6 linked regions of the Oryctolagus cuniculus genome follow. The protein of the gene in region 5 binds, or shares a complex with, the protein of the main gene of each other region. Links are inferred from orthologs where the notes say so. Each region holds a gene or a part of one and is shown on either strand. Other genes may lie near its edges. The genes, in order: UBA2, IPO13, XPO1, RWDD3, UBE2I and E3 SUMO-protein ligase RanBP2.

Evidence for each region.
Region 1: the proteins of UBE2I (region 5) and UBA2 are in contact, whole or in part, in a crystal structure (PDB 4W5V), measured with the Homo sapiens proteins. The link is inferred for Oryctolagus cuniculus from reciprocal best matches to the Homo sapiens genes UBE2I and UBA2. Residues at the interface, in NP_003336.1 of Homo sapiens: Ser2, Leu6, Arg13, Lys14, Arg17, Lys18, Val27, Lys30, Asn31, Asp33, Gly34, Thr35, Met36, Asn37, Leu38, Met39, Asp66; in NP_005490.1 of Homo sapiens: Asp479, Gln481, Gly485, Lys486, Gly487, Thr488, Ile489, Leu490, Ser492, Ser493, Glu494, Glu497, Thr498, Asn501, Phe509, Asp520, Asp521, Phe522.
Region 2: the proteins of UBE2I (region 5) and IPO13 are in contact, whole or in part, in a crystal structure (PDB 2XWU), measured with the Homo sapiens proteins. The link is inferred for Oryctolagus cuniculus from reciprocal best matches to the Homo sapiens genes UBE2I and IPO13. Residues at the interface, in NP_003336.1 of Homo sapiens: Arg13, Lys14, Arg17, Lys18, Asp19, His20, Pro21, Phe22, Val25, Val27, Lys59, Glu99, Asp100, Lys101, Asp102, Arg104, Lys110, Gln111, Leu114, Ile125, Gln126, Pro128, Ala131, Tyr134, Thr135, Cys138, Gln139, Ser158; in NP_055467.3 of Homo sapiens: Leu33, Tyr34, Tyr35, Asp36, Pro37, Ile39, Lys42, Gln46, Glu73, Tyr76, Gln178, Thr179, Arg181, Gln231, Glu261, Val264, Asn265, Met302, Glu303, His306, Arg310, Val313, Glu317, Asn318, Thr355, Ser358, Leu359, Leu361, Thr362, Ser413.
Region 3: the proteins of UBE2I (region 5) and XPO1 are in contact, whole or in part, in a cryo-EM structure (PDB 9B62), measured with the Homo sapiens proteins. The link is inferred for Oryctolagus cuniculus from reciprocal best matches to the Homo sapiens genes UBE2I and XPO1. Residues at the interface, in NP_003336.1 of Homo sapiens: Ile125, Gln126, Tyr134, Cys138, Gln139, Asn140, Val142; in NP_003391.1 of Homo sapiens: Gln207, Gln210, Glu243, Thr244, Lys245, Tyr279, Gln282.
Region 4: the proteins of UBE2I (region 5) and RWDD3 are in contact, whole or in part, in a crystal structure (PDB 4Y1L), measured with the Homo sapiens proteins. The link is inferred for Oryctolagus cuniculus from reciprocal best matches to the Homo sapiens genes UBE2I and RWDD3. Residues at the interface, in NP_003336.1 of Homo sapiens: Leu6, Ser7, Ala10, Gln11, Arg13, Lys14, Arg17, Lys30, Gly34, Thr35, Met36, Leu38; in NP_056300.3 of Homo sapiens: Glu3, Pro4, Glu7, Ser10, Val11, Ala13, Ala14, Ile15, Cys17, Pro98, His101, Glu102, Leu105.
Region 6: the proteins of UBE2I (region 5) and E3 SUMO-protein ligase RanBP2 are in contact, whole or in part, in a crystal structure (PDB 3UIO), measured with the Homo sapiens proteins. The link is inferred for Oryctolagus cuniculus from reciprocal best matches to the Homo sapiens genes UBE2I and RANBP2. Residues at the interface, in NP_003336.1 of Homo sapiens: Ile4, Ser7, Arg8, Gln11, Glu12, Arg13, Lys14, Ala15, Arg17, Lys18, Phe22, Gly23, Val25, Val27, Lys30, Met36, Glu42, Cys43, Ala44, Pro46, Gly47, Lys48, Lys49, Trp53, Glu54, Gly55, Gly56, Leu57, Lys59, Pro69; in NP_006258.3 of Homo sapiens: Leu2651, Lys2652, Leu2653, Pro2654, Phe2657, Phe2658, Tyr2660, Tyr2666, Val2667, Glu2669, Glu2671, Glu2672, Asp2673, Asp2674, Glu2675, Asp2676, Phe2677, Ala2680, Val2681, Leu2684, Gly2686, Lys2687, Leu2688, Tyr2689, Leu2690.

The regions. Positions count from the first base shown.
Region 1 is NC_091449.1:22,493,059-22,497,408, reverse strand, and holds part of UBA2 (SUMO-activating enzyme subunit 2), read right to left. Parts: intron 3,977-4,350; coding exon 3,912-3,976; intron 2,760-3,911; coding exon 2,659-2,759; intron 139-2,658; coding exon 17-138; intron 1-16. UniProt on the Homo sapiens protein: The heterodimer acts as an E1 ligase for SUMO1, SUMO2, SUMO3, and probably SUMO4. It mediates ATP-dependent activation of SUMO proteins followed by formation of a thioester bond between a SUMO protein and a conserved active site cysteine residue on UBA2/SAE2.
Region 2 is NC_091438.1:129,107,923-129,113,070, forward strand, and holds the start of IPO13 (importin-13), read right to left. Parts: upstream 3,206-5,148; 5' UTR 2,389-3,205; coding exon 2,305-2,388; intron 586-2,304; coding exon 1-585. UniProt on the Homo sapiens protein: Functions in nuclear protein import as nuclear transport receptor. Serves as receptor for nuclear localization signals (NLS) in cargo substrates.
Region 3 is NC_091433.1:141,245,473-141,249,822, forward strand, and holds part of XPO1 (exportin-1), read left to right. Parts: intron 1-1,706; coding exon 1,707-1,755; intron 1,756-2,063; coding exon 2,064-2,183; intron 2,184-3,394; coding exon 3,395-3,523; intron 3,524-4,350. UniProt on the Homo sapiens protein: Mediates the nuclear export of cellular proteins (cargos) bearing a leucine-rich nuclear export signal (NES) and of RNAs.
Region 4 is NC_091438.1:75,462,089-75,466,962, forward strand, and holds the start of RWDD3 (RWD domain-containing protein 3), read right to left. Parts: upstream 3,181-4,874; 5' UTR 3,138-3,180; coding exon of another isoform or gene 3,053-3,137; intron 2,296-3,052; 5' UTR 2,287-2,295; coding exon 2,085-2,286; intron 1-2,084. UniProt on the Homo sapiens protein: Enhancer of SUMO conjugation.
Region 5 is NC_091450.1:33,711,728-33,716,875, forward strand, and holds the start of UBE2I (SUMO-conjugating enzyme UBC9), read right to left. Parts: upstream 3,397-5,148; 5' UTR 3,131-3,396; intron 2,948-3,130; exon of another isoform or gene 2,791-2,947; intron 2,644-2,790; exon of another isoform or gene 2,491-2,643; intron 997-2,490; 5' UTR 988-996; coding exon 922-987; intron 838-921; coding exon 754-837; intron 217-753; coding exon 144-216; intron 1-143. UniProt on the Homo sapiens protein: Accepts the ubiquitin-like proteins SUMO1, SUMO2, SUMO3, SUMO4 and SUMO1P1/SUMO5 from the UBLE1A-UBLE1B E1 complex and catalyzes their covalent attachment to other proteins with the help of an E3 ligase such as RANBP2, CBX4 and ZNF451.
Region 6 is NC_091433.1:100,042,161-100,046,510, forward strand, and holds the end of E3 SUMO-protein ligase RanBP2, read right to left. Parts: intron 3,629-4,350; coding exon 3,355-3,628; intron 3,231-3,354; coding exon 2,899-3,230; intron 2,219-2,898; coding exon 1,913-2,218; 3' UTR 997-1,912; downstream 1-996. UniProt on the Homo sapiens protein: E3 SUMO-protein ligase which facilitates SUMO1 and SUMO2 conjugation by UBE2I. Involved in transport factor (Ran-GTP, karyopherin)-mediated protein import via the F-G repeat-containing domain which acts as a docking site for substrates.

The sequences.
Region 1 (4,350 bases), on a different chromosome or scaffold from region 5:
ACATACACACTCTTACTTGAACAAATACTTTGCCCAAACGATGCAGTGAATAGGTTCTGAAGGTGTGTTACGAATTGTACAGCCAGGAAAGGTTCTCTGGGTTGGTTTAGGATGACATTCATAACACTCAGTCACACCCTACAAAGTCAGGAATGGGAAAAAAAAAATTTATTCCATGATGGCAGTCTCTCAACATTATAAGGTAATTATAAACATTCATTCATCTAACATTCCAACTGGGTTTTATATTGTCAAAGATGTCTGAAAATATTGGTGACTCCAAGATTCTAATTTTAAAGAGGAAGAATCTTTAACACAAAAGCTAACTGAATCAACCATAGTTACAGCGAAGGCCAAATCAGGACTCCTCTGATTCCTGGCCCAGTGATCACCAACACCAAACCAAATAAAATCACTGCATTTCAATGTCAAATTTGAGAACTGTACCTTCATTTCAATAAACAAAAAATACCAGAAAGCAGCTTTCCAACCAATTACTTCTCAAAGTCAAAAATGTGTTGAATATTATTCACAGCCACATCCGTTATAATCTCCTAAAAATTAAGTGAACTCAAAGTAGTTACTGATTTTAAGAGATTAATCTTGACACCAGGTATTGCCAAGAAACACTCTTCATTTTGCTGATACACTTTTATGACACTTGAGACAATTTTTCACAATAATCCAATGAGTCATCAATGGGGGCCAGCATTATGGCACAGCAAGTCAAGTCAGGGTTTGGGACTCCTACCTCCGACACTGGAGTGCCTGTCTCTTAATTCAGCTCACTGCTAATGCATCCTGGAAGCCAGAGGTATCACCTCAAATACTAGGGTCCCTGACACAAAAATGGAAGATCCAGATGGGAGTCCCTGGCTCCAGCCTCAGCCTGGCTATTGTGGGCATTTGGGGAGTGAACAAGCAGATGGAAGCTCTTCCTCCCTCTCTCTGCCCTCCCCACCCTCTCAATCTGCATTTCAAATAAACAGACTTAACAGAACAAAGTCAACTGTCCTCATCTTGGCAATTCTTACTGCTTAGCTACATTCTGGTATCTCAGGATCACAGTAATAAATAAAGTACATAAAAAGCAATCCCTTTTGAGTAGTAGCAAAGAAACAAAATCCACAAATGTTGCTTTAATAGAAATTGCCAGAGATTCAGCTTCCTCCTTATTTCCATTTCTCATGCCTTTGGCCTTCCAATATGCTTTCTTGGGGGCAGCCACATGGCAAGCAGTCATCCCTTATATGAGTTTAAGAAAGATGCTGCCTTGATCTGTCAACAGATATTGAATGCCTCCATTTATTCAAATACACTCAATACACATTGACAGGTACAAGTCTTTGGAATGATACTGAATAAGCTTCCAAGAGCAATATGAGTATTTAACAGTTAAAACTGAAGTAGACCCTCAGTTCTCAACAAGGATAAACTGCCCTCCCCCGCAAAAAACACCAAAGCCAGCCAATTTTAAACCCAATATAATTTCCTTTTCATAATTTCATTCCTACAAACGGATTTTTCAAATGCCATCTATGCTTATTTTTTAAAAGAAAAAAGATCCAAATGGCAAATTAACAATACTGAGATTTTACAAAACTAGGTTATAGATAAATAGGTATTTGCTCCGTTATTTTTAGTTTTATAATAATGTTTGAAATACTTGACAAATACTCTCAAAAAGTTTTCAGTTGTCTTCAGATCTATAAATCACTTTTAGACAAAATGTAGCCTTTAGAAGCCTGGTTTGCCAATTATCAACTACAACATGACACGTTGTCTCATGGTTACTGAGAACTTGAAAGTAACTACTGAGCAACCAGAGAAAGACAGATAAACAGAGAAAGAGAGCTCCCATCCACTGATCCACCCCTCAAATGCCAACAGTGAGGAATGGGACAGATGCAGAGCCAGGATCTGGGAACTCACTCCAGGTCTCCTGTGTGGGTGACAGGAACCCAACTGCTTAAGTTATCACTGCTGCCTCCCAGGGTCTGCACTGGCAGGAAGCTGGAAATCAGGAGCCAGAGTCGATTACAAATCTAGGTACATTCTCTGATGGATAATACATAGGCATCCTAATCAGTATCTTAACAGGCTAAATGATTATCCCTACCAGAAACCTTTGAAGTTTATTATACTAACCAGTGCAAACAAAGTGGCATAGAAGATCTCTTTGCCCATGGTCTGTGTACACAGAGCATTCCAAGTTTTATGAGCATGAAAATTCTTACATGTTGGATTTTTAAAAAAAATTTTTTTAAGATTTATTTTATTTATTTGAAAGGCAGAGTTAGAAAGAGGGAGAGACAGAGTGATCTTCCATCTGCTGGTTCACTCCCCAAATGGCCACAACGGCCAGAGGTCAGCCAATCAGGAGCTTCATCTGGGTCTCCACATGGTTGCAGGGGCCCATGCATTCAATCTTCCACTGCTTTCCCAGACACTAATATTAGCAGGGAACTGGAACAGAAGTGGAGCAGCCAGGTCTTGAATCAGCACCCATATGGGATGCCAGCATTGCAGACTGTCCCAATTGTACCAACCCCACTTGCTCTTATTGCATAAATCCAAGGTTTACTTCTTCCAACCCCAAGGTCCCAAATAAGTATCCAAAATATTGAAAACAACTTTTTTTTTTTTTTTTTTTTTTACCTTTTTGATAGTAGTTACTTGCCCAAGATAACCGGCAGTCCCACTCTCAATAAGAGGGACGTCAGCTGCCAAACACATCCTATTAACATGATTTCGGGCAGCTGGAAGAAAAATACTAGTCAGCAAAAGGGTTTCTGAAAAAACAAATTAGTTACTTTTAATTAATTAGGATGACACTCACTCAAACTATTTCTTAATGTTTCTATATATATAACTATCTTATGGCTATGCTCAGAGTAATACATGCAAAAGAAATCCATTTGGCAAAATCTCATATAGAAACTTGTATTATACATTTACTCCCAAGGAAAAGCGGCTCTGGAAACAAGTAATTTTTTTAAGTTTCAAAATGTCATCTTTCTGTAATACTTGGAAGTAAATGAATAAAGCGGATTATCAGCTTGGAACTATTTAGGCAATTTAAGTTTAGGGAGAAAAGGATGAGTCAGGTTAAGTCATTCTCTTTGTGTTTTTTCTTTTGGTATTTCAGGCCCAAAATTATTATAAACTCACTCAACAAAAACACTTTTACAAGCAGAAGTAACAATAGGCAAGGAATAAGATTTAAATATTTTTACCCCTACATTCTAAACATACAAATCTGGTAATAACTGACTGTATGATTATGACCCATCTCTTTATATTGTGAAAAGTTTAAATGGTTAAAAAAAAAGTGTACATCCAACAGAATCCAGCATGGTATCCTTTGGCACCAAATACACCTAAGACATTTCAAGAACCATGACTCTGAACTTCAGTATCCTATTACTTCATTCTCCAAAAAGCAATTTTTCAACCCTGACCTCCGTTTACAATCATCTGACCAGCTCTGAAAAAATATGATGCTCAGGCCCCATTTTCAGGGTGATTCAACTGGTCTTATGTAAGACGTAGGCACTGGGATTTCTGAGCTCCCTACATAAGAAAGCCATACTATATTTTAGTGCCCCCAAAATCTGAAACAAACACATCCACATACACCCTCCACAGTCACCTTCTCTAGAGCATTTAACTTTCCCTTCATTTACAACTTTTGGTGCAACAGCATAATACATGATAGCTAAATCCCTGCCTGGGACAGCTAAGCTCTAGAGAAAACTGCAATCAACCAGCAAGCTTGAAACCTGAACTTGCTTTCACTTAGATTTTAAAGTACTAACTCAAAAGGAAATATTTTTAAGAAATACTAAATTTGTAAACAGCTTTGATGTGGGGGAGGGGGAAATATTGAGAAAATATTAAAATAATCTCACCTCTGTTATCTAAAGCATTCATAACTAATATAAATTGTCGAAAAAATTCCACATTATAGTCCGGGCTACAAAGCAAAACAAAAAAGGTCACTAAAACAACTAGCCTTACATACGATCTTCTCAGTACCACACAGAGTCCTGAAAAGTATAATGTATTAAGAGTGCAAAAATAACTGATATGAGCAACAGACAGCATTTACATAGTAAGGTTAGACATTTCCAAACATAAGCATATTTTAAGGAAATCATTTCCCCTGAATTCCTATCCTTTTCGCCAGCTACCTAGGGCACCAGAACACGACCTCAAACTGGCAGAAAGAAGGCATGACTTCACTAGTCCCATCAGGCCTTCTCCGGGCATTAAGTGCCTGGGAACACGCAGAGAACACATTCCCAGGGTCTGCCTTGCCTCTGGGTTCACCTCACATGGTCAGGATCA
Region 2 (5,148 bases), on a different chromosome or scaffold from region 5:
GAGCACCTTCTGACGCACACAGCTGGGCGAGCTGGGCTGCTGGAGCAGCTGCTCCAGCAGTGGGAAGACGGCCCCACACTCCACAGCCAGGCTGGCCCGCACCAGGCCTTTGCGGTACTGGGGCAGGCGGCTGGTCTGGAACTCCTCAGGCAGCACTGTCAGCAGCTCCAGCAGGGCCAGGCAGCGGCCCTGGCCATCCACCGGTGAGTCCTCGGCCTGAAAGAGCCGTACCATATCCGCCACAGCACATGGCCAAGCGTCAGGCATCATACTGAGAGCCAGCGAGGCCAGTGCCACGCACAGCCGAGTCAGCACAATCTTGGAGCCGCTGGCAAAGCGGGTGATCTGGGTGAAGAGCTGTGCCTTGAGGCTTTCATACTGGTCAGTGGGGATGTCACTCCAGTAGCGAGAGATCTTGATGTGCAGGGCGCTGGCGCCAAAGTACTGGATCTCAGGCACCTTGTCGGGCTGCAGTAATTGCCAGCTGAAGTGCCAGGCCTGTGGGGAGACCTGGGCCTGCATCAGCCACTTCTGAGCCAGGTTCTTGTTCTCAATGTTGGGGTCATAGTAGAGCTGGTGCAGCGCCTGCAAGACAGCACAGGACTGAGCAGCTGCTGGCCGCTGGGGATCCCGCCAGGGCCCAGAGCAGAGCGACTCGGTCCTGCAAGACCTGCAAGACGGCACCCCCTATCTGATGGGAGTGGGGGGTGGGGGCGGGGGGCTCAGCAGGAAGGCTCTTGCAAAGTTGCCTGAGGTACCACTGGCATCTTGAGTGCCTCAACCTTGCCCTGCTCTACCCTATCCTCTTAAGAGTAAAACCACTATGGGTTCCGGGACAGGGAGGCAGAGAGAGAGGAGCGGAGCTCTCTAGTGGGAGGCACCTGAGGGCAAGGCCCAGGGGGAAGGAATGGCTCCCTAAGGATGAAGCGCAGCTGAGAAGAACAGGAAACAGCCTGAGGGGCCCTGACCCTTACAGACACAGCTGCTCCAGTCAACTCCTACAGCTCCATTCATCCCCCCGGGATATCACTAGGTCACTCCAGATGCAGGCACCAGGGCCAGTGTGAAACCTGAGGAGGACTGAGACTTCTGCCAGGAGCCCTCAGGCAGAGACAGCCTAGAGGGGGAGGGGGAGAGAGCACCCTCAGAGAGCACACGCAAAGGTCCCATAAGGTCTAGTAAAGAGCCGCTTGGGCCACAGCCGCAGTCCTAGCAAATGCCTGGTCCGGAGCTCTCAACTAGCAGAACCTCCGGGGTCCCAACTCCAGTGGGAGTTCACGCAGTGGGAAAACAGTGGCGTATCTCCCTGGTAGCACACAGAACAGTGCCAATACAGCCCAGCCCCAAGGAGTGGGTGAGTGAGGCCAGGATCCTGTCCCACAAGCTGGCTCCATCCAAGTAGGCTGAACCCCATTTGTACCCCCTGACAGCCAGCTCTGGCTACTGTCCCTTGTTCGGTCCCTCAGGGATGCAGAGGCGGAAGGGAAGCCATCCTCACTGCTTGTTATGGCAAACAGGGCTCAAGAGTAACAAGTGAACCTTTGCGACCATCCCCTGCTTTCCGGCAAGGTAGCCCATGTCCCTGTTCACCCCAGGGGCCATGCATTCTTGCATTCCAGGCTTCTGGGAGCCCAATGCTGAAGACAATCAGAGAAGCAGCTCAGAAAACAGGGACTGGGCAGGGGCCAGCCAGGGAGGGCTAGGGCAGGGCGTGATGTGAACAGGTGAGTAATGGAGGGCCTTGTAAGGTTCCCAGCAGGGCCAGGCCCCTTGACACAGCACAAAACAAAGAGGGGTACGCCCCACTGCTGCCTGCCCAGGCCCAGCACCTGTGCGGTAAAGAAAAGACCCTGCACCCAAGAAAAGTGAGAACGTAACCCAGGCTGTTTGGGCTCCAGATTATCTTCTGAGCCCCTGACTCGACACAGGTGTAGGATAACTCAGCATCAGTGTGGTTTCCAGGGACCAAGCTGCAGGTCTCCTTGGTTTCTTACTGCACCGCTCATGCATTTCCCACAGAGCTGGAGAAGAGCCAGTCTGGCTGAAGTCTGAGCCACCAGCACCGAGGGGGTACATCCCCAAACCCCGTATCTGTCCACAGAGGACCCAGGTCTAAGGAAAGCCAAAAATAGCCCACGAGGGCACTGCAACACTGCTGTCCTGCTGGCCGGAGACACGCAAGCGCCAGGTGCTCCAGGGGCACCATCCCAGCAGGCACCCGGCCCAGGCCTGAGCTCCGGCCTCAGTGTCAGTCCCCAGAACTTCTGCTCTGTCACTCGAGTACCCACCCCAAAGCCCTCGTACCTTCTCCACGTTCTCCACAGTGAAGTCCAAGGCTGGTGCTGCTCCAGCCCCTGCAGCTCCCGGCTGCTCCTCCCGCCGCTCCATCTTGGCTCCCTCCCCAGCAGGGAGGTGGACCCTGATCTGTCTCCTGCCCCAGCCCCTTGGCTGCTGGCCCCCTGCTAGACCCCGGCTTGTGTGTCCAGGGAGCTGCGGGGTGACGGGGGACCCAGGGCGGGCATGGCTGCCGAGGCCTCCCCACCTCCTTCGGGGTGGGGGGCTTGCCAGGGACCCAAAAGGGGGACTCTTGGGAGGAAACCCAGGGACGGTGACCCTGAGGAGGGAGCCGTAAGTGAGGGGCACTCAGGCCGGGGTCCTAGTGGTAGGTCAAGGTTCTGTCCCCAGAATCTGTGAGGAGGGAGGCCTGTGGGGAAAACCGAGTGCCGAGCCCGTGCGGGGTCACAGGGTCGACGGCCTGTACCCACAACACCCTCGTCTGTGCGAGCCCTTTGGCGCCGTGAGGAGGTCACCGGGCTGGGGGGCACGGGGGAAAGAGAGCCCTTCGCGGGTTACAGAGGCGTCCAACGAAGCGCGAGGGTGTAGCTTCGCGAGTCAGGGGCGAAGAGTCCGTGGAGTTGGGAGGCTGTGGCAGGTCCTCTCCATTCGGCCTGGCCCGCGCTCTGCTCACCGCCCCGCTCCGGCCCCGCTACCACGGCTACTGCCGCTGCCTCCGCCCCAGTGACTGACAGATGAGCCGGCCCGGCTGGGACGGGGCGGGGACCTCAGCAAGGCGTGGGCTGCCCCGAGCGCCTGTCGCCGGCACCGCCAACTCAGGCCCCCACCCCTGTCTGTTCTGGCCCGGCACGACCCGGCACTGCCCGGCACGGCCCAGCGGAACTGCGCGGAAACTCATTCCGGGTCCTTGGCCCTGTCCTCGCGCCAGCCCGCGCGCCCCCGAGCAGGCGACGGCGTGGTACGGCGCGCCGCCCGAGGCCCCCACGGAGCCGAGGCCCCGCCGCTACGCACCCTGGGAAATGTAGTTCGTGCTGAGCCCAGCCGGAAGGCGGCACCTCGCGGAGGAGGCCGGGGGCACATGGGTTGGGGCCTGAGAAGGCGTAAGCACCCCCCAGAGAAAAGCGGGGCTACACGCCGGAGGAATATAAAAGGACGGCTCAGGAACACCCAATACCACATACCATGGACAGTACTCGAGGAATTTCCTGAGGTTTTTGGAAGCAACTTCCCCCGATGTGTGCTTTGAATAAGACTAGCTCCCGTTTAAACCCAGGAGCAGTGCTTTGCATGCCTTGGGTTCCGTTAGGTTGGGGAAGTTGAGCTTATCTTGCCCCTGGACACACAGCTGTGGTGGCAGAGCCTGGCCCGGCAGTCCCTGCCTCTCACTCCCCCAGCTGTCCTCCAGTGAACTCCTGGCAGCCACCCCCGCAGGGATGGGAGGAAAAAGCAGAAGGGCTGGGGCGGGCGCTGTAGCTTAGTAGGTTAAGCATCTGCCTGCTGTGCCGACATCCCATATGAGCACTGGTTCGAGTCCTGGCTGCTCCACTTCCGATCCAGCTCTCTGCTGTGGCCTGGGAAAGCAGTAGAAGATGGCCCGAGTGCTTGGGCCCCTCACCAGCGTGGGAGAACCAGATGCCATTTGGGGAGTGAACCAGCTAATGGAAGACCTCTCTCTGCCTTTCAAACAAATAAATATAGCAAAAGGCCTACTGTACTTGAGTTCCAATGGAAGAGGTGGTGATGGCTGAGAAAGTTGATGAAGGCCTGAGGAAAGGGAGCCTCACTTAGATGCTAAGCAAAAGTACAGTGGAACTCCAGTCATTCAGCACATCTTCAATAAGAAAGTGCTGAAAAGGGGCCGGTGCTGCCTGTGAGGCTGGCATCCCGTTTGGGCGCCGGTTCCAGGCCTGGACGCTCCACTTACCCAGTCCAGCTCCCTGCTGCCTGGGAAAGCAGCAGAAGATGGCCCAAGTACTCACATGGGACCGGGATGAAGCTCCTGGCTTCAGCCTGGCCCAGGCCTGGCTGTTGTGTCCATTTGGGGAGTGAACCAGAGGTTGGGAGCTCTCTCTCTCTCTCTCTAACTCTGCCTTTCAAATAAATAAATAAGAACAGCTGGTAACCTATGTTCCATATAAGGGGAGATTTTAGGAGTGGGTGATGCTGAACCCCTACCCCTAGACCATGTAGGCTTCATTGGGCCCCATATCTTTTCCTTGGCTGCTCCTTGGTACACGTCAACTCATTAAGTTAAGGGAGTGATACAGGGTAAAGCCAGAGCTCTCAATGTTTGCCTCTACTCTGAGAGCTTTGCAGGAATGCACAGTCCCCTGATCCAACAAAGTAATACCCAAACCACACTTAGACCCAGACAGACTGGAGCCCACCTTTGCCATCCCAAAGGAAACCTGCTGCCCCTATCACTGACCAACTGCAGGCCCACACAGGAGCCGATCATGCACTTGGAAACCTAACATTGAACTAGAGGATTCACTGCCTTTCATCTCGGAGAGTCCAGGAATTAAGTGCTAGCTACCTGGCTCCTTGGTCTGCATGTTGCAATAAACACTTGCTTTTCTCCATCACCCTGGTGTTGCTGATTAACTTGCTGTATGCCAAATGAGCAGACCCAATTTTGGGGTTCTACAGCAAGTCCTCCAACCATTTTTGGGGTGTTCTATGACGTGGGGAAGGGAGAGAAGATGGGTTGTAGAGATGAGGTTGGAAGACAAGTTGGGGACAATGGACTATTATAAGAGTTTGGACTTTACCTTAAGTGTAATATGACACTATGGTGAGGTTCCCAGTGGATAGCATTTGCCTTTTTTTAAAAATCTGTGTGCAATATGGAGG
Region 3 (4,350 bases), on a different chromosome or scaffold from region 5:
CATGTCCCGGCTTCTCTACTTCTCATTTAAAAAAAAAAATAATAAAGTATATATACATTTCTTCCATTTAGTAACAAATTTGTTTTATTCTTTAAGAATACAAGATTTTGCTAAATAAGCTAAAGGATTTATCATTTTTTCTCTGAATTATTGTGAGCACATTTTGGGGTTTGGGCTGTACATTAGTTCTCCCTTTATCTGTCATTTGTTTTTCCATTGTTTCAATTGCCTGCTGTCAAACATGGCTGAAAATACTAAATGCAAAATACTTTGAAACATAATAACGGGCCAGTGTTGTGGTATAGTAGGTTAACCGTTACATGGGACACTGGTGTGCCATGTTAGCCCCTGGCCTCCTGGCTACTCTGCTTCTGATCCAGCTTCCTGCAGATGTGCCTAGGAAAGCAGGAAAAGATGGCCCAAGTACTTGGGCCCCTGCCACACAGGAGTTCCAGGCTCCTGGCTTTGACTTGGCCCAGCCCTGGCTGGGGCAGTCTTTTGGAGAGTGAACCAGCAGATTTCTGTCTTGCTGTAAATCTAAATTGCACATAATTCCGAGTTATGGGTTGAAATTTGTCCCTTGTCCCACCCAAGATAAGAATCATTCTTTCATTCAGCGTATCCACATTGTATGAGGATGAGCTGCTACTTACCCTTTAATCAGATTGTAGCTATCTAGAGTTTCAAATAGTCTTTTATGGTATTAGTGCTTACAGTGCAAGAGTAACCATGCTGGCAATTTGAATATGCCAAAGAGAAGCTGTTAGTGGTTGCAATAAGATATTGAGAGAAACTGCAATCATAACTTTTTAGTGCCTTATATTATTGTTAATCTGTATGTTTTTTGTATACTTAATATGTAAACTACATACTAATTGATACTTTATCACAAGTCTGTATATGGAAATAGGTAGAATATATAGGGGCTCAGTATTATTCATGGTTTCAGGCAACCACTAGGGATTGGAACATACCTCCTTTTGGGGAAGGGAGGAGCTACTCTATGTAATGCTATTTTGTTTGGAGAGTTTTCTTTCAAGTATGTGCATTAAAGAGAACAAAACTTGAGAAAACTTGAGAGATTATTGAAGGGATAAAATAAGAGTAAATGTGTCAAAAAACCAAACTCCTAAGAAATGAAGTTTTGTTTTTTTGTTTTTGTTTTTTTTTTTTTTGACAGTAGTCCTTTTAGGTGAGAATTAGAGAGTGCTTTTGGGTTTGTTTTTAAAGAATTATTTTTTGAATGGCAGAGTTACAGTCAGAGATGGAGAGAGAAAGAGAGAATGTCTAATAGCCATCCACCTGTTCATTTCCCAGATGGACACAACAGCCTGGACTGGGACAGGTGAAACCAGGACCTGGAATTCATTCAGGTCTCCCACATAGTGGCAGGTACCCAGCATCTTCTGCTGCCCTCTGTGGTGCATTAGCTGGGAGCTGGATTAGAACTGGAGTAGCTGGGACTTGACCAGTGGGATGCCAGTATTTCAGGCAGGAACCCAACCCGCTGTGCCAAAACTGGCCTTAGTGTTTGTAGTTTTAACAGCTTGCTTTTGATTGGTACTTTAAGTGTGTTGAAATTGAAGTCACTCAAGTTCTGACTGATGACAGGTCATTAAAATCATGAAATTTTTAATGATTTTATTAGTATATAAATGTGGTGTTTATTTGTCTTCTAAATTGGAACCTGTTATTCTTTTTTTAAGCATGTGCAATGAGTTCTCACAGATATTTCAGCTGTGTCAGTTTGTGATGGTAAGTGCTCTTAATTTGTTTTTTATTTCAAAACCAAGCCCTAAGAGGCTGTGTGCCTAGCTGCTGGGTCACTCCCCAAATGCTTGCAGCAGCTGAGGTTAGGGCAAGGCCAAAACCAGGAGCTGGGAAACTCAATCTGTGTCTTCTATTTGAGTGACAAGAAACCAGTTACTTCAGCCATCACTGCCGCCTCCCAGGATGTGCCTTAATTAGAAATTTAATGTATGGAACTGAAGTGCCTGCCCTTAGTTTCATTTTCAAAAATAAGTTATAGGAAAATAATATTTACAGATGTGTTTTTATTACAGGAAAATTCTCAAAATGCTCCACTTGTACATGCAACCTTGGAAACACTGCTCAGGTTTCTGAACTGGATTCCACTGGGATATATTTTTGAGACCAAGTTAATTAGCACATTAATTTATAAGGTAGTATGAATATATTTTGTTACTGCTTACTTGTATATATCCTTTTAAGTTGTAAAGATCTTTCTGCATAGCCAGTGTTTCTGAGGTGACAGTGCACAAAAGGAATGTTTCCATAATTATAGCTAGTAATTGAAATGAGTCAAATTCTGTGATTCTGCCACTTATATCCTATAATTTCATTTAATTTAAATGACAGACTTGATTATATTTAGTCACCTTTTCTGTTTTTCATTTATTTGAGAGGCTGGGAAAGAGACAAACTGCTCCCTTCTGTTGGGTCATTTCTCAGATTGCCCTCAAGGGCCTAGACTGGACCTCAGTTTAGGCATCCCACTTACTTGAAGCATTACCTGCTACTTCCCAGAAGCTGGGGAATCTTGGGAAGAGGCAGGACCTAAACCATGATACTCTTTAAAAAAAAAAAAAAGGAATGTTTGCATCCCAACAGTTCAGCCACTTAACCAGTCACCCCTTCACTCTCAGCTACATTCTTGTGTATATAGGATATTTATACTCATATCAAGCATTTCCTTCCAGTAAATTTGTTTAAAATGGAATTAGCAGGTCAATAGACATGTCCTTTTTTAAAAGATTTATTACTTGAAAAATAGGCAGAGTTACAGAGAAAAAGAGACATATCTCTTCTGTCTATTGGTTCATCCCCCAAATGGCCCTAACTGCAGGGACTGTTTCAAGCCAAAGCCAGCAGCCCAATATTCCGTACTAGTCTTGTACTGTTTTGCCAAATGCATAAACAGCTAGATTGGAAGCAGAGCAGGCAGGACTTGAATAGATACTCATGGCCCATATATGTCTATTTCTATCCCATTAAGTCTCAAGTTTTCAATTCTGCAACTATTTCTAGGACATATATTTAATTAAATGTTACTGTAAGTGGTATAGTTATTGTTCAATTTAAGTCTTTATAGGTGTCTTATGAATAGAATGTAATAGGCTAAGGCTTTTAATGCTTACCAAACTGCCACCCACTGATAGCTTTGCCACTTATATATTTTCTCCAAATTCATAGTATTCCTTAGATGATGGAATTTCCTTAAAATAATCTCTAAAATAAGGCATATCATTCACTTACCTATTTGACTGCTAACTTGTTTCTGATTGTTAAATCTTTTCCTTTCCTTAAAATGTTTATCTTAAGCATCATGTGCTTCAGCTATTTAATTTTATGTTTCTCTTTTTTAAAAATATAGTTCCTGAATGTTCCAATGTTTCGAAATGTCTCTCTGAAGTGCCTCACCGAGATTGCTGGTGTGAGTGTAAGCCAATATGAGGAACAATTTGTAACGCTATTTACACTGACAATGATGCAGCTAAAACAGGTAATAGTCTGCTATCTTGAAAATGGAACCATTTTTGTGCCTTAGAAAATGTTGGATTCAAGTTCAGATATTTTACCTCCATGTGTTACACATCAAGTGTATTGAGATATTGTGTTTTTATTTTTTTAAGATTTATTTATTTGAAAGAGTTCGAGAGAGAGAGAGAGAGGTCTTCCATCTGATGGTTCACTCCCCAGTTGGTTGCAGTGGCTGAAGCTGTGCCGATCCAAAGCCAGGAGCTTCCTCTGGGTCTCCCACACGGGTGCAGGTCCCAAGGACTTGGGCCATCTTCTACTGCAGTCCCAGGCCATAGCAGAGAGCTAGATAGGAAATGGAGCAGCCAGGTCTCGAGCTGGCACCCATATGGGATGCCGGCGCTGCAGGCCAAGGCGCCAACTCTGAAATATTGTGTTTCTATAAAATCAGTAGTAAAACAGAAGTTTTTAATGGGAACTGAAAATTACTTGAAGTAAAGGTTTTAGGTGTGTCAAAAGAATACATTTTTTAAAATTAAGATTTGTTTCTTTGAGAAACCGAGTTATAGAGAGAGAAATCTTACATCTGCTGGTTCACTCCCCAAATGGCCACAACAGCTATAGCTGAGCTGATCCGAAGCCAAGAGTCATGAGCGTTTTTGCGGTCTCCCATGTGGGTGCAAGGGCCCAAGGACTTGGACCATCTTCCACTGCTTTCCCAGACCATTAGCAGGGAGTTGGATTGGAAGTGGAGCAGTTGGGTCTTGAACCAGCACCAATATGGATGCTGTGCAGAAGCTTAACCTACTACACAACAGTGCCAGCCCCAACAATGTATTTTCTCCAGAATTT
Region 4 (4,874 bases), on a different chromosome or scaffold from region 5:
TACCTGGTCTGAAAACCGGGGCCAGGAGTAGGCTTCATCAAGTAGGATGTATTTACAGTTACCAGGTACATGGTTAGCGACTACACCGAAGCTGGCACCTGCACAGACTGCACCGGGTAGGACAGAATAGCCCTGAGTAGGTCTACAGGCAGCCTCAGTCACACACAGCAGTGTGAGGACTTACATAATCCCCACTGCTAAGAAGTGATTACCAAAGATGCCTCTTACTGTGAGTTTACTATTACTTCTTTTTTTTTTTTTTTTTTTGGCAGGCAGAGTGGATAGTGAGAGAGAGAGAGACAGAGAGAAAGGTCTTCCTTTACCATTGGTTCACCCTCCAATGGCTGCAGCGGCCGGCGTGCTGCGGCCGGCAAACCGCGCTGATCCGATGGCAGGAGCCAGGTGCTTCCTCCTGGTCTCCCATGGGGTGCAGGGCCCAAGCACTTGGGCCATCCTCCACTGCACTCCTGGGCCACAGCAGAGAGCTGGCCTGGAAGAGGGGCAACCGGGACAGAATCCAGCGCCCCGACTGGGACTAGAACCCGGTGTGCCGGCGCCACAAGGCGGAGGATTAGCCTAGTGAGCCGCAGCGCTGGCCTACTATTACTTCTATAAAGACAGAAATGTAGATAAAGCCCCTCAAATTCTTTGCATTCATGAATCCAGTTACAACAGACTCCGATTATTCAGCCTCCTTGATCAGACGCCCTTAACCGTGGACCCTTGCGTCAGCAGCCTGAGCCTTCCTGGACTTTCTTGTCACCAGAAGTGCCATCCCGCCTAAATGGTCTCCAGACTCCAGTGCTTATCTGGGGGAGGCCAGGAAGGAACGGGTGGGACTCAGTGTGACCCTGCGAGATACACTGACAGTGAGCACACGCTCACTGCGGTCTGTAGAGAAACCCTCACCTGACCCTTAATTCCCAGTTGCGAGCATCAAATCGTCCCATTCCAACCACTGAAATTGCTCTACCTTGCAGAGAAACCGCTCAGCAACAAGACACCCTAAGTTGTTACACTGAATTCTTTTATAATTCAATTACTTACTGATGCCAGAACACTGAATTAAATTAATTACGAGGCCTGGCTTCAAATCCACGCTCAATTTAGCAGCAGATAAAGGGTCCACACTGTTCACAATACTAAGAAACTACTCTAAGCTTTTTTTTTTTTTTTTTTTTTTTTTTGGTATGGTCTCTCCGACCCAGCAGCTGAGTTTCACACTCAGTCCATGTGCTCCAGAGCCAGGCCGCCACCACACCACCCTCTATAAGGTGTGAGGGGAAAGTGCAGGCCCATGGTTCCAGGATGCTCCCAACTGAGCCATCATAAAGGAACTTCGGAGAACTCATGATGTCTTCAAATAGCTGCCTCGGGCGGAAGCAGTTACCAATGTGAAGAGTGTCCAAGACAGGGAGGGGGATGCCGAGCAATTAGGAATGCTATCCAGACACAAGGCAGGTGACGCTCAGTAAACCCTTCCATGAGGATTCTAAGGACGCTGTGGTGTAGTACACTAATCCTCCACCGACGGCGCCAGCATCCCACATGGGCACCAGCTGGAGTCCTAGCTGCTTCTCTTCTGATTCAGTTCCCTGCTGATGTGCAAGGGGAAAGCAGTAGAAGATGTCCCAAGTCCTTAGGCCCCTGCACCTGCATGGGAGACCCAGAGCAAGTTCCTGGCTCCTGGCTTTGGATCAGCCCAGGATGGAAGACCTTTCTCTCTCTCTCCCTCTCTCTGTCTGTAACTCTACCTCTCAAATAAATAAATAAAATCTTTAAAAATTAAAAAAAAATTTTTTAAAAGGACTCTAAGCCAGGCTGGGCACTGGAAAGAACAGGGCTAGGGTTGCAGTACCTGGGACGTAACAGTAGTCGGTATACGTGTATGCACGGTGACTGCAAGAAGAAACCCGCCACAAGGGGCTAGCTCCTGCTCTGTGGGTGAATAATGGCACAGGGACACTGGGGAACTCTCTCAGTCACAGGGGCTCTCCTCATTGCACACTGCCTTCTTAAAGCGCAGTCAATTCATGCTCACAAGGACAATTTCAATACCGGTTTCAACATGAGAAGATACATACCATGCCTACTCAAATGCAGAGTATATTTGAAAGTGGGGGGATCCCATATGGGCCAGGTTGGAGTCCCAGCTGCTCCACTTCTGATCCAGCTCTCTGCTATGGCCTGGGAAAGCAGTGGAGGAGGGCCCACGTCCTCAGGCTCCTGCACCCACGTGGGAGACCCGCAGGAAGCTCCTGGCTCCTGATCTCCAGGCTTAGCCATTGTGGCCACCTGGGGAGTGAACAAGTGGATGGAGGCTCTCTCTCTGTCCTTCCTGCTCTCTGTAACTCTGCCTCTCAATTAAATAAATACATCTTTTTTAAAAATTAAAAATAAATTTCAAAAGAAAGCTAAATAAAGTTCAGAACTATTTGCATCACTGTACTTTCTCATGGGAACAGACTATTAAAAAAATGAGTCAAAAGAACCTTTCTGGACCATCAGCTCTTACACGAAAGGGCAATGCAGGTCAAGGTTTGTAGAATTCAACACACGTGGGCTTAAGGATCAAGGCGCCCCCCAAAGTCTGTGACCGGCAGCCCGGTTCCCGCCCACTAGACAAGTACGAACAAGGCAATCTACTTGGTAACGCAAAGCAGACCAGGCTGGACTGGAGCACCAGGTGGGTCAAAATAGTCACTCAACAAACCTCTACTGTGTACACAAATACTAGTGGAGTTAAAACCGTCTCCACAGCGTAACGCACAGTGCTTACGAAGGACACATAGCCTTCTGCGAGTGCTGGACTTCAGGGCGGGCAGGGGCTATCCAGAGGCCTCCATTTCAGGTGAGACCCGCAGGACAAGCAGACGGGCCTCCCCTCCAGCCTGCTCCCACGCCGCTGCAGGCCCCGCGGGGTGCGCATCCCTCCTCCGGACTTGACTCTCCGCGCCCCCGGCTGCGGGCCCACGCTCAGCGGTGGAGAGGCGAAGGCAGAGGGAGGCCCCGTCCGGAGGGTGCCTCGTCCCGCCCGCGCGAGGGTAGTCACCTGAGCGGCTCAGCACCTCCCACTCGTGGGGCCCGCAGAAGATCGCGGCCAAGGCCGAGAGCTCCTCCTGCATCGACTCTGCCATGGCCGCGCAGCCCGGCCGGCTCGGCACTTCCCGTTCCGTTGCGAGCCTGAGCAGTGCGACCCAGCGGCCACGGGGGGGCGCCCCTGGCCACCGCAGCCGGCGACGGGGGCGGGGCGGCCACGTTCAGAAGCCCCGCCCCAGACCTCGGCTCCGGACTCCAGACGCTAGCTTCAGCCCCTTGGGTTGGGCTTTCTCTGTGAGTTCTGAAGCCCCACACCTGGGTCTGCGAAGATCGCCTGGCTCGCTCGCGGCTCTCCTTTGCCGAGAGAGGTCTCCCAGCAAAGTCTCAGCTCCATGCTTGCAACACACCCCCCAGACCCATGCCCTGCCTAGGTTCTGCTGGGCTGGGGACTCAAGGGTCCAGAGGAACTTGGTGGATAGGAGAGAAAAAACAAACGGGAAAATAAATGAGCAGCAGATGAGATGGACCCTTGTCCGCTGGGGGTTGCACTAAGCGTTGGGGAGACCCTGGAGCCCTGGAGCCCTGGAGGGGGTCCCGGCTCAGGAACCTTAACAGGTGCAAAAGGGACAGCCCTGGACTTCCTGGGCAGCTGTGCGCCAAGTCCTAACGTCCCCCATTCCTCAGGTGCGTTCAGCCGGCGGTGCTCCTTGGCCCTGGTGGGGTTGCGGGGAGGAGGTGTCCTGGAGAGTAAAGGCTGCTTTCTCTGAGTTTTTGATTTTGTCATACTCAATGCGTGCAAAGCACAATGAGTGTGTGTGACTGTGGCTCTTGAAGCTTAAAGTGAAGATGAGCCTCCTGGACCCCAGCACCTGAGTGGAGGGATCTGAGCCATGCTAATAGGGTTACAGAGCTGGAAACCCACCGTGTGCAGGCGTGGCCCCGAGCTGATGGGAGCTCCTGCTTTCCAGCGTGCGTGGCTTATCCTTTTTTTTTTTTTTTTTTTCCTTCTTCCCAAGTACCGATTTCAAATGTTGCAGCCCTAAAAGCAGCTGGCCCTGCTCCGGGAGGTCCCGTAATTTTGTTTATATCAAAAACAGTATTTCAAGCGATAAATCAAAGTGGCTACTCAGTTTCTCCTGATTTTGACCTGTGGAAGCCGGAAGAACAAACTTGGCTGATTTGGGGACTCCAAATCCATGTTACATCATCATCATCATTCTCACTGTGGTTAAAAAAAAGGGGGGGTGTGGAGGGATTTGAAAAGGGAAATGATACTGGGTTTCCGAGAATAGAAAGGAAATCTGACAACATGGCCTGCAGAGAGAATGGTTTGAGGATGCCATGGGATTTCAGTGACCCTAAGTAATTAGCAGCACTGCTGTGCACATAATTGGAAAGAGAAGGTTTATTTAAACTCATAATTATCTCTGATGTGACCAATTTGTTTAAAAACAAACAAACAAAAAAAAACTCCTTTGAGTTATTTCCAAAATAGCAGCCATTCAGATCCATCATTAACTGAGAGAATAGTGAACAAAAGAATAAATTTTTTAAGAATAAATTTTTAATTTAAAATATTCCTAAGTTATTTGGTCTTAGTTTGAAGTCCAACATTACTCTTAAAAGTGGTGGGAAAATATTAATTTTGTTATTTGATTTATTCATTAAATATAAACTACAAATTAATGGAAGAGTTCTTAGAATATTTTTAATTTTCCAAAATCAACATAACTGATAGTGAAATACTATGCACAGCAAGGTGACAGCTTGGCGGAAGTGTTGGGGAGGCAGGCACGCCAGGGTCCGCCAGGGGTGCCCGGAAATTGATGTAAACC
Region 5 (5,148 bases):
ACAACCACTAAGAACCCGGGTCTCCCAGCCCCTTCCCCCACAGCCACAGAGCTGCAGGTCAAGCAGACCACCCCTCCCACCAGGGCAGGGACCCCCACGTGCGGGTGTGGGCGCAGGCGGCCGGCGGGCCCCGGGCGACTCACATTTCGGGGGCGAGGACGGGTAGTCGTCTTTGAAAAGCATCCGCAGCTTGAAGAGGCCGCCCTCCCACGGCGTCTGCGGGGACAGACCAGGTCAGGGGCCACGGGCGCCCGGCGGGGCCTCGGAGGGGCCGGGCAGGGCTGCACCGGGCTGCAGGGGACCCGGGGCTCGGGCACGAGCGCGGCCAGCAGCCCTCTCCCTGAGGTCCGCCATGGCTCCACCAGCCCCCGGGGCAGAGTCCAGTCCTGTCCGAGGGAGGAGGCAGCCACGCCAGGCTGAGCCCACGCTGCAGAGTAAACCCTGGGGCCGGCGGCTCCCGACCAGGAGGCCACCGTGACGCATCGGGAGGGGCGAGGAGAGCTGGGCCACGTGGTCAACCCCCATCCCGCGTGGGGAACTGGGTTCGAGTCCCAGCCTCCTGCCAACGCAGACCCTGGCAGGCAGACGGCCCCCGCCCCCCGCATGGCCCTGCCAGTCTCTCCAGCCAGGGGTGGGGCTTTGGAGCTGAGGCCACTGCCAGGTCAGGGACCGCGAGACATAAAGCTCCCTCTCGGAGCAGCCACCAGCCACCAGCGCGGGGTCCTGCCGCCGCCCCCCGCCCCGGCCGCTTACCCCCTTCTTGCCGGGGATGGCGCACTCCCAGTTCATGAGGTTCATCGTGCCGTCGGGGTTCTTGGTTGGGACAGCCACGAAGCCCTGCGTGGACAAGCAGGGGAGTCCCCGGGCGCTCAGGCCGCCCCGCCCCGCCCGCCCCCGCCCCCGCCCGCGGGCTCTGCTTACAAACGGGTGGTCCTTCCTCCAGGCCTTCCTCTCCTGGGCAAGTCTGCTGAGGGCGATGCCCGACATGTTCCAGTCCTGGGGACACGGGCGCCGTGAGGGCCCCACTCCCACGAGCCCGAGTCACGCCAGGCTGGGAGGGCCCCACACCTCAGGCCGCGGGCGCACGGCGCTGCTGAGGGGGGCAGCCCAGCGCCGCTGCCCCAGCCTGGCCTCCCCCACGCAGGGCGCCTGCGCCCCGGACCCGAGGGCCAGCGCCCTGACCAGGGCCGGCCACAGCGGCCCTCAAGGTCCAGGACCACAGCCCAGGGCCCAGGCCGCCGCGCCTGGACTCCACCAGCTGCTGTCTGCCCCGTCCTCGGAACCCACGGGTGTCGCCCTCCAAGTCCCTGGCTACAGAGCCACTCCACGGCTCACCTGGCACTGGTTAGAGGGGGAGGCTCTGCCCGGGGCGGGCGGCATCCCAGAACCCAGCAGGCGAGAGCCCAGGAGAGCCAGACCTCCACAGACGATCGGACGAGGACCACGGTCCTCGGGCTCCTGAGTGCCGGCGCCTCCGGCCGTCGCACACCGCGCACGGCTGCAGGCTGAGCCCACGGCTGCTCCACTTCCCAGCCGGCTCCCTGCGGGGGGACGCCCAGGGCCTTGGGCCCCTGCACCCGCGTGGGAGACCAGAAGAGGCTCCCGGCTTCCACACGGCCCAGCCCCAGCCGACGGGGCCGTCTGGGCGAGCCAACCAGCGGCTGCGCGACCTCTAACTCTGCCTTGACAATAAATAAACCTTTAAAGAGGCGAAGCCGCCGCCAGGCTGCCACGCCTTCCCGCACCTGGCGCCCCAGCCCGGGCCCCTTCCGGGAACAGGCGTGGCGGCCCGGTCCCAGCACACCTGCCTGTGGCTCACCACAGCCTCCACCTGCACGGGCAGCGCGCGAGCCAGCCCCGGGCGCCCTGGGGTCCCCGGAAGCAGGCAGCACAGCACGGGGCAGGGGCCGGCAGGGGCCTGGGGGCCGCGGGGAGCCCGACGTCGGTCCCCAAGGCTCCTGTGCGCCTCTCACACCCTCCCCGCTGCAACCCGCCCTCCCGAGCCAGCGCATCAGAACTGCACCCCTGCCCGTGCTGGGCCCGAAAGAGCTCCGCCCACAGAGACCCCCGCGGCGGGCGGCGCTGCCCGTCCGGGCCGAGCCACAGGTGCGCACCTGCTCGGCGCCGGGCGCCCGGCCTCAGTCTCAGCACGCAGCCGCGCTGGACAGGTGGGCTGCCGCGGCCCGCACCGGCCGCCTCCGTGGCCCTTCTCGGCCCTCCCGCACCCGCGGACGGGCCCTCTGGGGCATGCACCCCACGCCTCCCTCGGCTGCGCCCGACCCCCGTCCCGGGACCCCCGCGCCCCGCCAGACAAAGGCACAGCGGCGGGCTTGGCCAGCGGCCTTGCGGGAGAGGGCCGGGGCGCCGCGCGGGGCAGGCGGCCCACACAGGCCCCGGGAGGCGGACGGAGGGCCGGGCGCGCTCCGGGCCCCGAAGACGCGCGACCCCCGCGGCGGGGCAGGGGGCTGGGGGCCGCGGCCACGGCCTCACCTTGGCCGGCACGGAGCCGCCCGCCGCCCGTGGCGAGCGGGGCGCTCTCGGCCGCGCAGGAAAACTTCCCTCGGCGGCGGCGGAGCCCCCCGCGCGCCCGCTGGTCCGCAACCGGCCGCTCCCGGCGCCCTCCCGGGCGGCCCCGCGAGCCCCGCGGCCCGAGGAAGGCGCGGCCCGGGCGGCCGCCGTGACCCCGAGGCCGCGCGCCGCCCGGAAGGCCGCGGCGCCCGCCTCGCGCCCCGCGCGGGCCGCCGACGGCCCGGCCCGAGCCCGCGAGGCCCCCCGCCCGGCCCCGCTCACCTCGGGCGGCCGCGGCCCGGCGAGCGTCACGGACGAGCGGGGGCCGAGCGGCGGCGGCGGCGCTTCCCTTTGTCTCGGGACTTCCCTCCGGAGCCCGCTCCGCGCGCAGCCCCGAGCGCCGAGGACCCCGGCGCGGGCGGGGCGGCGGGGCGGGGCCTGGCCCGGGGCTGCCCGCCGCACGCCTGCGCCGCGCGCCGCCGCCGCCGCGCCGCGCCGCGCGCCGCCCGCGGCCCCGCGCGCTCCTCGCCGCCCGCGCCCCGCCGCCGCGCGCCCGCGTCCCGCGTCCCGTCGGGGAGCCCGGCCCGGGGGCGACTTTCCAGTCAGGCGGCGCCCTGGACACCTGTGCTCTTAAAGGAGCCGCGTCCTCGAAGTGAGGGAGCGTCTGCAAACTCTCCTTCGGGGCGGGCGGGCGCACTCGAGGATACGCCGGCGAGCAGCCGGGGAAGGGGCGCGCCGCGTTCCTCAAGGGCTCCCCGGATGCCCGGCGGGCGCGTCTCAGCGCGTAGGTTCCGGAGGTCTCCTTGGGGCCGGGGCCCGGGGCCGGGGGGCAAAGACCACTGAGGCCTACGGATGCCCGAAACGGCGCAGGACGGCGACAATCCCCTGAGTCTGGCGTCCTGTGAAACCCCCTGCAATTGGCCAATGCAGGGGCCTGGGCGGGGCATCGTCCAGATCCGCCCAATCAGCTGACGCCGTACGGAAGGCCGGACGCTCGCCAGACCGACGGGAGGAGAAGCGCCGACGCTCCCTAGCCCGGGGCCGTCCCGCCTGGGGGAGGGGCGCGCCGGGATTCCCGCGCGCGGTCTCGTCCCACGAGCGCGAGCGCGCGGTTCGCGGGTCCGCGCCGTCCCGCGCGGGCACGGCGGGGTCGCCCCTGGGGCTAGGGCGCCGTCCGAGCCGTCGGCGCGGTGGGCGCCCGGGGCCAGGCGATGGGGTCGGCCGCAGAGGGCCTGGAAGGCACTCATTCACGCCCTCCTCCAGGCTCCGCCGTCCGCAGCCTTCGCAGCTCTGGTTTGCCGGGACACGGAACGTGGCTGACAGGCCTGGCGGCAGCGGCGGAGACCCCCGAGGGGGCAGAGACGCCCCTCATTCCCCGCGCCCCTAGGTCCCGGTCCCAGCTTCCCCGCGGTCTGCGCTGGGCTGTGTGGCCGTGGAGAAGCCGCTGGACCGCGGCCCTGGGGTCCCAATGGGCAGGGGTGGGGGGCAGGGCCTAGGTCTGCAGGTGGGGGGGGTAGGGCCCAGGTCTGTGGGGAGGGGGAGCTGGGGGGCCCAGGTCTGCAGGTGGGAGGGGGTCAGCTCAGGGGTCCCGGATCCGCGGTCCTCCACACGGGGACACCTGGGGCAGGGAACCCACCTCAGATGGGCCAGGTTCAAAGGACACACTGAGGCTGGGGGGGGGGGGTGAGGGCCCCGGCCCCGCCTTGGGGGGCAGCCCTCCACAGATCACCCACAAATCCGGGCTGGGGGGCTGGTCAGAAATCCACACCTGAGCAAAACCCAGAACTCCCGAGAACAGGTGCGTCCCGACCCCGTGCCGGGGGCGGAGCCGGGGTCTGGGCCCACCCTCGGGGGGGGGGGGAGTGTGCGTCCCAGGACAGCCGGCGACCGCGGGCCCACCCCGCCTCGCACTCCCGCCCAGGGAGGAGCGCGCAGAGAGGCTGTGTCCCGGGGGGAGCGGAGGCCGGGCCCTCCTCCCCGTGGCCGCCCTTGGACGCCCTTCGCTGCCCACCGCCTGGTGACCGCGGGCAGCGCTGTCCCTGCCCCAGAGCCGCGCCCCGCCCGGATGCGGGACGCACCTGCCGCGCGCTCCCGCCTGGGCCTCGGCTGCCTCACTTCCGTCTCCAGACAGGGCCTCGCGCACCTGCGCCGCTCCCGCCTCCGGCCTCTGCCCGCGAGCGCTGCCCGCCCAAAGTCGCCTGCGGGGGCTCCTCCCCGGCCCCTGGGCGGCCGGGCGGGCGCTCTCGGAACGCCCCGGGGGCAGGGGTCCGTCTGCCTCCGCACCTACAGGACTGCGGCGCCTTTACCTGCCCGGGTGGCCCTCGCGCGGCTCCCCCGCGGGACCTCGCACCTGCACAGCAGGTGGGCAGCCGGATGCTTGGCTGCGCGGGGGAACCGGGGGCGAATCCAGCCGTGCGGTGCGCCTGGAGCCGGGATCCCGCTCGTACGGGGAGGGGAGCAGCAGGGGAGGGACGCGCGCAGGCCCGGCAGGGCTCGAACACGCGGAACGCGAGGCTGTTACAGGCGCCAGGTGCGCCTCCTCCTCTGCTCCACCGGGCCCACCGGCGACACCTGGCGTCTCGGCCCCGCTCCGGGCCACGCACGCACACGCCCCCTTCCCGCGCGCCCTTGGCGCCCACC
Region 6 (4,350 bases), on a different chromosome or scaffold from region 5:
GAACAAAGCATTACTTAAAATGTACAAATAAACATTTTATTCTATCTTTAAGCAGGCCTTAATGAGACAATATAAAAATCAATCTAGCCTTAAGAATATCTATCATGTGTTTAGTGTACCACTTCAGCAGTTAAGTAACCGGGAATCAAAGTCCTTTCCTGAAATGTGACACAGAAGACTTCCTTACAAACGCTTCTAGCCACTTTTAGCAGCTTTGGAATACTAATACTGGAAAGGTTAATTTATATGTTATTTTATCAACTTTTTTAAAGCTTTAAGTCTGTAACTTTAATGCCTAATTTAGGACACCACCAAAGTGTAAAAAGTCTAAAAAGCACTTGCATTTACTTACAGTTTACCCTAAAAGCATGACTATTGCATCAACTGCCTCAGCAGAAAAGTTAGAACTCACTTTTAATCAATTTATATTACATAGGTTTGCAAAGAAGCCGACTCTAAGTATTAAATGTGCACGTATGCAGTTCACGGTTCCCTTCAAGGTTCAGGTAATTCACCTGAACTGTTGCGGCTGGGTTACTTCTGGCAGCTTCAAGTTGATTTAGTGCTGGTATTCAATCATTCATTATTCACACACATCACGCGTGGCATCCCTGCCATCGGCTGCATGGCATTCTCTGCATGACGCCCCATTTCCACGTCACCACACAGGGAACAAGGAACTGTCTCACTGAGAGGCACACAGGGTGGAAGACGGTCAATACTCATGATCACAATACACACAATTTTCTGCTCTGACTGGGTTCTTTGTGGTTCTACGTGAAGTCTGCCAGTAAGAACATGTTTTAAAGCAGTTTGCCTAACTTGTGACACAAGCCACTTTTAACTGCATTTCAGTGTATCAAACTTGGGAAGTATTCCTTCGGGGGCTCTGGAAATTACGCGGCAGCTTGAGTTAACAGTACTGACCTTTAATTGCCCTCTGTACTTCAGTCTAATACTAGAATGAACAGACAACTAGATGCACAAGTAATGAACTTTTTAAATATCATGACTGTTGTCAATTGTCACTTTATTTCTGCTACAAAAGTCACCAGAAAAAGATACTGCAACAATCTAGTATAAAGCAAATCTTTAACCAAAGAACATGGTATAGACCTTTAAAAATATTCATACTTTATCACAATAACTGCAAGGAAAAATTCAATTTCTATCATCAGGACCAAGTTGAAATTGCTGAGGTAGTAGAGACAGATGACAAAAAAGTTTGTTTTCTTTTTTTAAAAAAGGAAATAGTCAATTTGCTTAAAATGTAAAAAATTAATTTAACACCTTTGAAAGGGCACAGAAGCTATATATTTTAGGCAAAGAAGGTACTCTACTTAAAAGTTCATTTGTAAACTATACAAGAGGTGTAAGATTACAGAAGAGCACTTTGGTTAACTCTACCTTCTGTGGCACTACCCATTCATAAATGAGTCTCTATGCATAAATGAGCACACCAACAGTTAAGGTTACCAAATATATTTCAGATCCAAAATAAAATTATCCAAGTTGTGGTCCCTTACTCAAATGTTAAGTATTTCCATGCTGGAAGTCCACATATATTTAAAGGAATTAAAATTAAATTGCATATATTTAATCCCTTCAATAGTCTGTGAAGGTATATTGCTTTTAACAAGATTATTATTACTATTCCATTTTATTACAGATATATCAGGAGTACATAAACACAAGTACACCTGAAATACACCAGTGTTTAAACTTTTATTTCACACCATGCAAGGTCAATTATAACACATTAAAAAGTGACAACAGCTATGAGCTGCAATTGTACATTTATACATTGGAAACGTCCATTTTCAAAAGCTGAACATAATTACCATATTGTAACAGCTAAGCTTTGATTCAACTGCTTATACAGATAAAATTTACTACAAAAAACCCAATGATTTTATATCTGTCCACATTCTGTGATGCTAATTCTTCGACTAACAGACCCTTTAGGAGAACCAAATGACTCAATCTTTTTCACAGTATCCATGCCATCCTTAACAAACCCAAATACTACATGCTTGAAGTCCAAATGTTCTGCTTTTCCCAGTGTTATAAAAAATTGAGAATTATTGGTATTTGGGCCCCTATTGGCCATTGACAGCAAGCCAGGACCAGTGTGTTTCACATCAAAATTTTCATCTTCAAATTTATCTCCATATATAGACTTTCCTCCTGTTCCATCATGTTTGGTGATATCTCCCCCCTGAAAGAAAAATTTAATTACTAGGAATTCTCAGTCAAACACTGAATTACACACAGAATTCATCACTGCAGGCTAAGTCCTAAACAACCAGCTTCCTGAAGAATGCAACTTAAGGGGCCAGCATTGTGACTCAGTAGGTTAAACTGCCACCTGTAATCCCAGCACCCCATATTGGAGTGCTGGTTCAAGTCCAGGCAGCTCTATTTCCAAACCAGCTTCCTGCTACAGCACCTGGGAAAGCAGAAGATGGCCCAAGTATCTGAGCCCTGACACCCATGCATTGACCAACTCTACTGTTCTGGGCATCTGGGGAGTGAACCAACAGATGGAAGGTCTCTCTCACTTTGTCTTTTAAACAAGGAAATAAATCTTTGCACTCCCTCCCCCAAAAAAGCTCTTTGAAAACTAAGAAATATGTATTTTTGAAAGACAATTAAGAAATTAAAACGTCCATCACTTCCCCACCCTCTTACACCCCAGTTAACAGAAAATTCAGACCCATTTAGGTTGAAACTTTTTGGCAGAGCTAGGAATTAGGGTGATAAAACCAATTAATGTGTGGGCAATCTACAGAAATTTTCACACTACAGCATAAGATCAGGAAGGAACACTCAACTTCCTGAGTTTATGCAGCACACACTCTTCTCTAGATTTCAATTCTGATGGACAATCATACTTACTTGGCAAAGACAATCTGGAATTACTCTGTGAAAAATGGAGTTCTTGAAACCAAAGCCCTTCTCTCCAGTACACAGTGCTCTGAAGTTCTCAGCAGTCTGAGGAACGATGTTTGAAAATAACTCCATGGTTATACGCCCTAAAGGTTCATCATCGGCACAAATGTCAAAAAACACCACAGGGTTGGTCTCTCTTGACAATTCTGCCAGTGAAACATGCCCTTTCTGGAGTTGCAATAAATTCTGTTGACATTCTTCAAACTTTTTCTTAAAACAATCAGCCATTTCTTTTGTTTTAAATCTCACTGCAAGCTGTTCCACTTTTGCTTCTCCATCTATTGGGATAAAAATGGAGAATACCTTTAAGATTAAAATAATCACTACCAACTGAATAACATGTTTGTTATGGGTTCAGGAAAGACCAAAAATGAAAAGTAGCATTCCCAAATAGAAACTCACCAGCATAATCTGAAGCAGTCCAAACTAAAGCATTATTTGAAACATTTAAGGGTTTTAATTCCATTGTTTTGGTAATAACATGGTTTGCACACACTTTGAAGACCTGGTCTCTCCTCATTAGGATCCGATAATAGTTCTTCATCCTATGCCAAAGGATCTTTATGTCTCCTACACCACGCTCCTTCCACTGGCTGGCATCACGATCCCATCTGTAAAGTTTGGCTCTCTCTTTAAACACAACTTCTTCATCTTCTTCTCCAGATTTTACTTCTACCTGGATTAGCAGAAGCAATTACCTATAAGCTGTTGCATATAACAAGTTTCAAATATTCAAATTCTTTAAGACATTTTCTTTGTAATGACGTTAACATCATAATGTGCTCACTGGTAAATATCCAGGCACAACAAATTCATCTGATTTGGTTGAAGCAGGAGGGAGCAAATTTATTATTAAATAGTTTTCTTTTAAACAGTATTCATTTGCATTTTAAAAATTGCTTCCTATATTGTAAACAAAAAGTTTCAAGAAGTCCCTGTTCCTGAAGAGAAACATCAACCACTGATCCAGGCTAAAAAAAAAAGAGGACAATTTTCCTAAAACAATAATCTTGTTCAAAAAATGTAAAGGTTATTTATATTTACTTTTGTGGGTTCAGTTTTGCCGATTTTATTGAGTCAATTCCAACTAGGAACAACAAAATAAATTTCTGCAAGTATAAATGTGATACGGGTTAAAACCCACTGTTCTATAACTAAAGATTTTCAAACTATCAGAAAAAATAGTTATGACTTGTTAACATGCTAATACACAGTTCCTTTCTTTCAAATGTGTTTGTCTTGATTCACTAACAATTTCTTATGCTTCTGTTCAAATGTTACCCATCTCTCAAGGAAAAAAAAAAAAAAAACAAAAGACATTAAAACATGAGAACTTTTCACATAAACTGCTCTCTTCAGGTCAGCTTTAATCATAACTAAGATCAACAACATAAGAAA